2 linked regions of the Saccharomyces cerevisiae S288C genome follow. The protein of the gene in region 2 binds, or shares a complex with, the protein of the main gene of each other region. Each region holds a gene or a part of one and is shown on either strand. Other genes may lie near its edges. A codon is read from its position in the direction of its gene.

What was found.
Region 1: the proteins of ELP6 (region 2) and IKI1 are in contact, whole or in part, in a crystal structure (PDB 4A8J), measured with the Saccharomyces cerevisiae proteins. Residues at the interface, in NP_014043.1 of Saccharomyces cerevisiae: Asn27 (codon at 1,976), Ser28 (codon at 1,979), His29 (codon at 1,982), Phe33 (codon at 1,994), Thr35 (codon at 2,000), Gln37 (codon at 2,006), Ser164 (codon at 2,387), Asn167 (codon at 2,396), Asn168 (codon at 2,399), Lys169 (codon at 2,402), Thr172 (codon at 2,411), Pro173 (codon at 2,414), Leu175 (codon at 2,420), Arg176 (codon at 2,423), Phe190 (codon at 2,465), Asn191 (codon at 2,468), Ser198 (codon at 2,489), Ser202 (codon at 2,501), Gln205 (codon at 2,510), Asn206 (codon at 2,513), Tyr208 (codon at 2,519), Lys209 (codon at 2,522), Ser210 (codon at 2,525), Phe212 (codon at 2,531), Ile213 (codon at 2,534), Lys214 (codon at 2,537), Asn218 (codon at 2,549), Asn220 (codon at 2,555), Asn222 (codon at 2,561), Pro223 (codon at 2,564); in NP_012057.3 of Saccharomyces cerevisiae: Ile31 (codon at 1,453), Thr34 (codon at 1,444), Tyr36 (codon at 1,438), Phe60 (codon at 1,366), Glu61 (codon at 1,363), Thr62 (codon at 1,360), Val63 (codon at 1,357), Asn64 (codon at 1,354), Phe72 (codon at 1,330), Asp74 (codon at 1,324), Thr76 (codon at 1,318), Gln77 (codon at 1,315), Tyr111 (codon at 1,213), His136 (codon at 1,138), Asp138 (codon at 1,132), Ile139 (codon at 1,129), Lys140 (codon at 1,126), Glu142 (codon at 1,120), Leu187 (codon at 985), Asn189 (codon at 979), Glu190 (codon at 976), Phe191 (codon at 973), Arg192 (codon at 970), Ile193 (codon at 967), Pro194 (codon at 964), Arg195 (codon at 961), Gly196 (codon at 958), Leu197 (codon at 955), Asn198 (codon at 952), Asn199 (codon at 949).

Annotation. Positions count from the first base shown.
Region 1 is NC_001140.6:478,780-482,532, reverse strand, and holds IKI1 (Elongator subunit IKI1), read right to left. Parts: upstream 1,544-3,753; coding exon 614-1,543; downstream 1-613. Other genes in the region: GPI-anchor transamidase subunit GPI16, read left to right, coding at 1-528; ubiquitin-binding TORC1 subunit KOG1, read left to right, coding at 1,861-3,753. UniProt on the Saccharomyces cerevisiae protein: Component of the elongator complex which is required for multiple tRNA modifications, including mcm5U (5-methoxycarbonylmethyl uridine), mcm5s2U (5-methoxycarbonylmethyl-2-thiouridine), and ncm5U (5-carbamoylmethyl uridine).
Region 2 is NC_001145.3:896,508-900,052, forward strand, and holds ELP6 (Elongator subunit ELP6), read left to right. Parts: upstream 1-1,897; coding exon 1,898-2,719; downstream 2,720-3,545. Other genes in the region: UPA2 (putative methyltransferase), read right to left, coding at 1-162; PP1-complex regulatory subunit GLC8, read right to left, coding at 407-1,096; TGL3 (bifunctional triglyceride lipase/lysophosphatidylethanolamine acyltransferase), read right to left, coding at 2,872-3,545. UniProt on the Saccharomyces cerevisiae protein: Component of the elongator complex which is required for multiple tRNA modifications, including mcm5U (5-methoxycarbonylmethyl uridine), mcm5s2U (5-methoxycarbonylmethyl-2-thiouridine), and ncm5U (5-carbamoylmethyl uridine).

The sequences.
Region 1 (3,753 bases), on a different chromosome or scaffold from region 2:
AGAGTTTACCTATCCTCTCTTCAAATTACTTCTACTACCTCTCCGCAATTGCAAGAAAACGATATCATCTTAGATAAATACTATTTACAAGCGGCCGATAGAAAAAGACCTGGCCACTTGGAGTTCACGATGTTAATTCCAGCTAATACGGACATTGTAATGACTTATCAATTCGATAAAGCTCTTCTGCAATTTGCCGAGTATCCACCAGATGCAAACCATGGTTTTGAAATCGATGCAGCTGTAATCACCGTGCTATCTTTGGAGTCCTCATCGTCTCTTTATGAAATGAGAACCTCTACCCTATTGTTATCCCTGTCTACACCGGATTTTAGTATGCCGTATAACGTCATCATTCTAACATCTACAATCATGGGACTCATATTCGGTATGCTATACAATTTGATGGTGAAGAGAATGGTCACCGTCGAAGAGGCCGATAAGATTACGTTGCAATCTGGCTTAAAATACAAATTGCTAAAGCTAAAGGAAAAGTTCCTAGGGAAAAAAAAGACTAAAACAGACTAACAATCTAGCATCTAGATATGTGTATGAAGTATACGTAGTTTACATAATCTGGAAGCACTCACTATTTACCATCAGTTTCTACTTTTTAAAAGGGATCCTCATATGGATCCTCTTCATCATAATCGTCATCCTTTTCGTACTCATAAACAATAGCACCCCCTTGTCCAAAGCTTTGTGCCTCCAGAAAAGGCAATGCGACTTGATCTTTGGCCAGCTTCTGTTTGTTGGATGTTCCTAGGTTGAATGTTGTTAATCCTTGCAACATTTCGGGTGTCTCCAGTCCGTTACTACTGCTCTCCTCTTCTTGCTTAGTGGTTGATAATAATTCATATTCGTGGGTGTTTGAATTTACTATGAAGTCGTATTCCAATGACCTGCCGGACTTTCTTTTATTAACAAGTCGTAATTGAAATATATCGTTATTTAACCCGCGAGGAATTCTAAATTCGTTTAACAATTCACTCACCTCCTCAGTATCGAGAGTGCCTGTTAATACCACATCAATATCTACTATTGTAGTGGCCATAAACTGCAGTAAAGTCAACTTATCAGGATAATTGTTATTCCAATCAGGTATTACCGTACGGTTCTCATCTTTGATGTCTTTATGATAAGTCGCAACCATCGTGCAGTGAGGAGAGGCGATCTCAGACAAAAACCTTGTTATGTATTCTGTAGAAATATAGTTCAATGAATCGATAATGACCATGTGCTTTTTTGCCTGTGTGGCAGTAGCAGCCGGTAGATATGATATAATTTGTTTCACTAAATGTACAAAATCCATCTGCGTAGCGTCAATAAATTGAGTACAGTACGATGGTTTATTCACTGTTTCGAACGAAATGTACACAATTGGATACTCATTTCCTTTACTCTTGCTCTGGTGGACGAATTCTTGGATGAGCTTGTATGAGGTCTGGGCAATAGAATCTAAGCACAAAATGAAAGGGGAGCTTTCTGTGAGCGATAAGATTCTTTTCAAAAGAATGACAGGGTTATGTGACGAACTGGCCATTATATCTTGTTCTACCTGTAGCAATAGCTTGGGTTGGAGCTATTAAAAAGCTCTTAAGTTATCATTCTCCAGAGGTTATAATGGCATCGCTTCTTATATTTGGATTTTTCAAGGTGACCCGCACTATGAGATGATAATCAAGGCAGCATTAATAGTATCAAAAATACTTTAATAAATCATCAATAGGTAGTACTTTACATAAGTATATAGAGGATTTTAAAACTTGTAAAGTTATTTTCGAATGCATTTGGTTTGTAGATTCCTTTGATTACATTTAGCGAATCCTATTGCATGCAGAGAAGGGTAAAAGATACATAATGCCGGAGATTTATGGACCTCAGCCATTAAAGCCACTCAATACGGTGATGAGACATGGGTTTGAAGAGCAATACCAAAGTGACCAACTTTTACAATCACTCGCGAATGATTTCATATTCTACTTTGATGATAAACGACACAAAACTAATGGAAATCCGATTCCTGAAGAGGATAAACAACGAGATGTAAATCGTTATTACCAGCCGATTACCGATTGGAAGATTATGAAAGATCGACAGAAGACAGTAAGTGCGGCCCTTTTATTATGCTTGAATTTAGGTGTCGATCCCCCTGATGTTATGAAGACACATCCCTGTGCCAGAGTTGAAGCATGGGTAGACCCATTGAATTTCCAGGACTCGAAGAAAGCAATAGAACAAATTGGTAAAAACTTACAAGCACAGTACGAAACTCTGTCTTTGAGAACACGCTATAAACAAAGCTTGGATCCTTGTGTAGAGGATGTCAAACGGTTTTGCAACTCGCTAAGAAGAACTTCTAAGGAAGATAGGATACTTTTCCACTACAACGGACATGGTGTGCCTAAGCCTACAAAATCAGGTGAAATTTGGGTTTTCAACAGAGGTTATACACAATATATTCCGGTATCTTTGTATGACCTGCAAACTTGGTTAGGTGCGCCATGTATATTTGTCTATGATTGCAACAGTGCTGAAAATATATTAATCAACTTTCAGAAGTTTGTGCAAAAGAGGATTAAAGATGATGAAGAGGGAAATCATGATGTTGCCGCGCCATCACCAACTTCAGCTTATCAAGATTGTTTCCAATTAGCCTCTTGCACTTCCGATGAACTTTTACTTATGAGTCCGGAACTACCCGCAGATTTGTTTAGTTGTTGTTTGACCTGTCCAATAGAGATTAGCATCCGTATCTTTCTCATGCAGTCACCCTTAAAAGATTCTAAATATAAAATTTTCTTCGAAAATAGTACTTCAAATCAACCGTTTGGTGATAGTAAGAACTCGTTCAAGTCCAAAATACCCAACGTCAATATCCCTGGAATGTTGTCGGATAGGAGAACGCCGTTGGGAGAACTAAATTGGATTTTTACAGCTATAACGGACACAATTGCATGGACATCCCTCCCCCGACCACTTTTCAAAAAATTATTCAGACATGATTTAATGATTGCTGCGCTTTTCAGAAATTTTCTTCTAGCCAAAAGAATAATGCCGTGGTACAATTGCCATCCTGTATCTGATCCAGAATTACCAGATAGTATAACCACACATCCAATGTGGAAATCTTGGGATTTAGCCATGGATGAAGTACTGACTAAAATAGTCATTGATCTGAAAAATGCTCCTCCCGCTACTGCCTTAGAGAGTCAGATGATTCTACAACAACAAGAAACCTTACAGAATGGTGGCAGCTCTAAGTCGAATGCCCAAGATACGAAAGCCGGAAGTATTCAAACACAATCGAGATTTGCAGTGGCCAATTTAAGTACAATGTCTCTAGTAAATAACCCTGCTCTCCAATCAAGAAAATCTATATCTTTGCAAAGCTCACAGCAACAATTACAGCAGCAGCAACAACAACAACAACAATTTACAGGATTTTTTGAACAAAATTTGACTGCTTTTGAATTGTGGTTGAAATATGCTTCAAATGTCAGACACCCGCCTGAGCAGCTTCCTATCGTTTTACAGGTTCTTCTTTCGCAAGTGCATCGTATACGTGCGTTGGTACTTTTATCCAGATTTTTAGATTTAGGCCCGTGGGCTGTCTACCTGTCACTTTCAATAGGTATCTTCCCCTACGTTTTGAAGCTGCTACAAAGTCCAGCACCTGAGTTGAAGCCCATCCTAGTTTTTATTTGGGCCCGTATCATGTCAATAGATTACAAAAACACGCAAAGTGAATTA
Region 2 (3,545 bases):
AACATTAAACAGCGATGCAAACTTGGCCACTTGGTACACCTTATGCGTGATTTGAGAGAGGTTGCGACAGTCCGATACCAATGTCGTGGGGATACAGAGTGAATAATGTCTGGTTTGTGATAGAGGTTTCTCAACCTTTTTGAACTTCCTCGTGCTGCTCATCAAACTAAGTGATACACAGCTTTGTGGTCAGTAGTATATATTCCTGGGACCGGTAGTAGTTGTGAAACAGAGTACTCTCACTTGCCGATCACAGCTCATCGATGGGAAATTTTTCATGTATAAAATAAAGCTTGTTAAAAAATCAGTTCGTTTCGCGTGATAACAAACAGTGCATATTTATGTACCAAGAATCCAAAAAATAAGATATATTTAGTATAGGTAAACGTTATGGAGGTGTCATGTTTCATGGTTCTTTTGTCGTACTATCATCTTCGTCTTCGTCTTCGTCCTTTAGCGCTTCACGGGACTTTTTGTTGAAAATTGCCCTTACGTCGTAATGCTTCTTTCTCATTTCTTCAAATTTCTTATGTCTAGCCTCCGGTGAGTCTTCATCATTCTCGTCGTTGGTCTCAAAATCCGGTTGTTTGTTCTCTTTGATTTCAAATTCCGGTTCGCCCAGGGACAAATCGTCGATGTCATCGTTTGCCACCTGGCATGGTTTTTTATCACTATTATCCTCATCTTCATCATCATCTACTCTGTAGTATTCCCCGTGAGGGTCCACAGCACCTTGGTAGGGGGTCTTGGGCTCGTCTATGTGAATATCTTGGAACTGCTTTTTTGTTATTTCATTTTCTGCTAAATTTCTTTGGTTCCATTGAACTCGCTCTTCTGGTGTCATCTTGGCCAACATGTCTTGCTCATGTTTCAGTGACAGTGTGTCCTTTGGAAGGAAGGTACTCGATGTTCCAATTATCTCCCCCTCCTCTTTTGTATTATCTAGTCCCGGTATATTCCTTTTATGTGATGTCAATTTGGCATTTTTCTGCGTATTTTCGTAAACTTGTCTTCTAAACTCTTCAAGCGTTTCTGGATCCTGTTGCGCCAGCTGCTCCGGCGATAAGGCTAGCGGGTTTTTAAGTATACCTCCCATTATTCTGCTGATGTGCGTTCTTGATGATACGAACTCGTTGTACTGATGAAGCTCTTGGACTTTAAGTTGTAGTGGTGTTCTCAAATTATCCTTTCGGTGGAAGTCATTTCTCCCTAAAAAAGCGTGAGGGCAAAACTTGAAACCGGGTAAGAATATGCGATAGTACCGTTTTGCCTCTAAAGACAGTGCTTCAGAGAAATATTAGCAAGGTGTCGAATCAAGTTATACTAGATAGGAGGATTTCATAATGAATAATGCTTTAAAATGGTTCTCACCTTTATTTTATCATTTTCTTCTTTTCTTCTGCTATTGATTTGGTAGTGTTCGGGTTAATTCATTTTTTTGTTCAATAACAAGAACCAAACATAAAAAAAAATACTTTAAGAATAAACAAGACTGATGAAGCATAGATCATATTATTAGAGCGCGTAAGGTATGTAGAGCACAGATTGGTCCTTCGAGTGTGATTATATAATTTTATATACGCTCCTTAATTTAAAAGCGGCTTAGATAGATTTTTTATACTTTGCTGTTGGAAAATTCCTGCTGAAGCAAAAGAATTTGCAATTCGTTCTTAGCCTTTAACCCCAATTTTAAGGCTGAAGCCGTGGCTTATATCATGGGCTTTGTTTATCCAACTTTTCACATCTATAGTACGCTATCTTTGCATCTCTTAGGCATGAATTGATAGGCGATGAGCAGAATGAAAAATGAAAAAAAAATAAAAGTACTAAATTGAGGCTAGTAGAAGTTAGGCAAAAACCGTCCAGAACCTCCACAAAAATAACTAAATACACATTTATGGGTAGTGTTCAACGACAAGATTTGGTCCTATTCAGCGACCAATCAGTGCTTCCTGCCCACTTTTTCCAAGACAGCAACTCTCATAACTTATTCTTCATCACCCATCAATCCTGTACTCAACCACTATGGATGATAAACGCACTAGTAGAAACGCACGTGTTAGGTTCCCCAAGTTCCCTTAATGAATCTTCTTCATCGATGCTACCTTCGTCAACTCGCTCCCATGCAGTCCTTGCGTCGTTTATCCACGAACAGAACTATTTTACAAATTCATTAAACAAGCTAAAGATCCCATCTAATAACTACAATGTTTTAGACTTCCTGTCCGACTTCATCGTTAATAATATCCATAATAAGCCAAGAGACAAAATACTAAGTGACGTACTCGCAAAGTTCTCCGCTGCTATACAAAATAACCCAACTGACACCATTGTTATCATCGAACAACCAGAATTACTGTTGTCGCTAGTAAGCGGCCTAACTTGTTCAGAATTAAACAATAAGTTCATCACACCTCTTTTGAGGCAATGCAAAGTGCTAATCATTGTTTCCAATTCGGACATATTTAATATAGATGAATACGATGCTTCTGTTCATTCCTCGAATCTGCAAAATTTCTACAAATCTTCCTTTATCAAATCAATGATTAATTTGAACTTGAATCCTCTGAAGACCGGTTTTGCAAAGGACGTAACCGGCTCATTGCACGTTTGCAGGGGCGGCGCACCCATTGCAACTTCAAACACAAGCCTACACGTCGTTGAAAATGAATACCTATATCTGAATGAGAAGGAGTCAACAAAACTATTTTATCGCTAAATAATGATAAGATTATATACGAGGCACATTGATTCTCGTATTATTGTTTTTTCTATGAACTGAATATATTTTTAAGTACAATATCAATGAAAAATATATGCAATCGAGCTCTATCAATAAAAAAAATAAGACAGAAAAAAGTGGAAACGATACTACCTACTCCGTCTTGCTCTTATTATGTCGTCTAATTTAAATTCGACTGCACATCTTGTCTTAATTAAAGCTAGTGCGGGCCATGTACTTCGTTCACCAGATTTTATCCAGTATGGAATGTTGTTTAGTTGACCTTCAATAATCCTTGTTAATGATAGACTTTTCATCCTTGGTACCACAGCAATCTCCGTAGCTGATCTGGGAGTCTTTTCATCAATTATTAGTCTTTTTATTAATGAGCACAACAGGCCTAAATTATCCAATACCTCCATCCTATGTCGAAATTCCATAGTGGCAATATTTTTTAATTTTCTTTCCAGATGATACTTAAATTTAAACGCCAGCGGTTCCATTTCAGTAAAGTTCAACTGCGGTATGCCCAATTCTGGGATTATGTACTCTGCTGAATCGTTGACTGCCGAACTTGGGGGCACAGGGCTCATTAAAGGCTCTGGCTCAAGATCCTCGACAGTTCCTGCCTTTATGGGTGATTGCGAAGAGGATCTCTGTGTTTTTCTTACTGTATTCGCGTTTATAGGAGGCATATTTGGATAATGCTTATAATAGTAATATTTTGACGTTTTTATTTCATGCTTCAAATCATTTACCACCAATGGTGCCAAGTATGGTCTCGCCAAAGAAACAATGAAGTTATTAACATTGAATAGTTCCG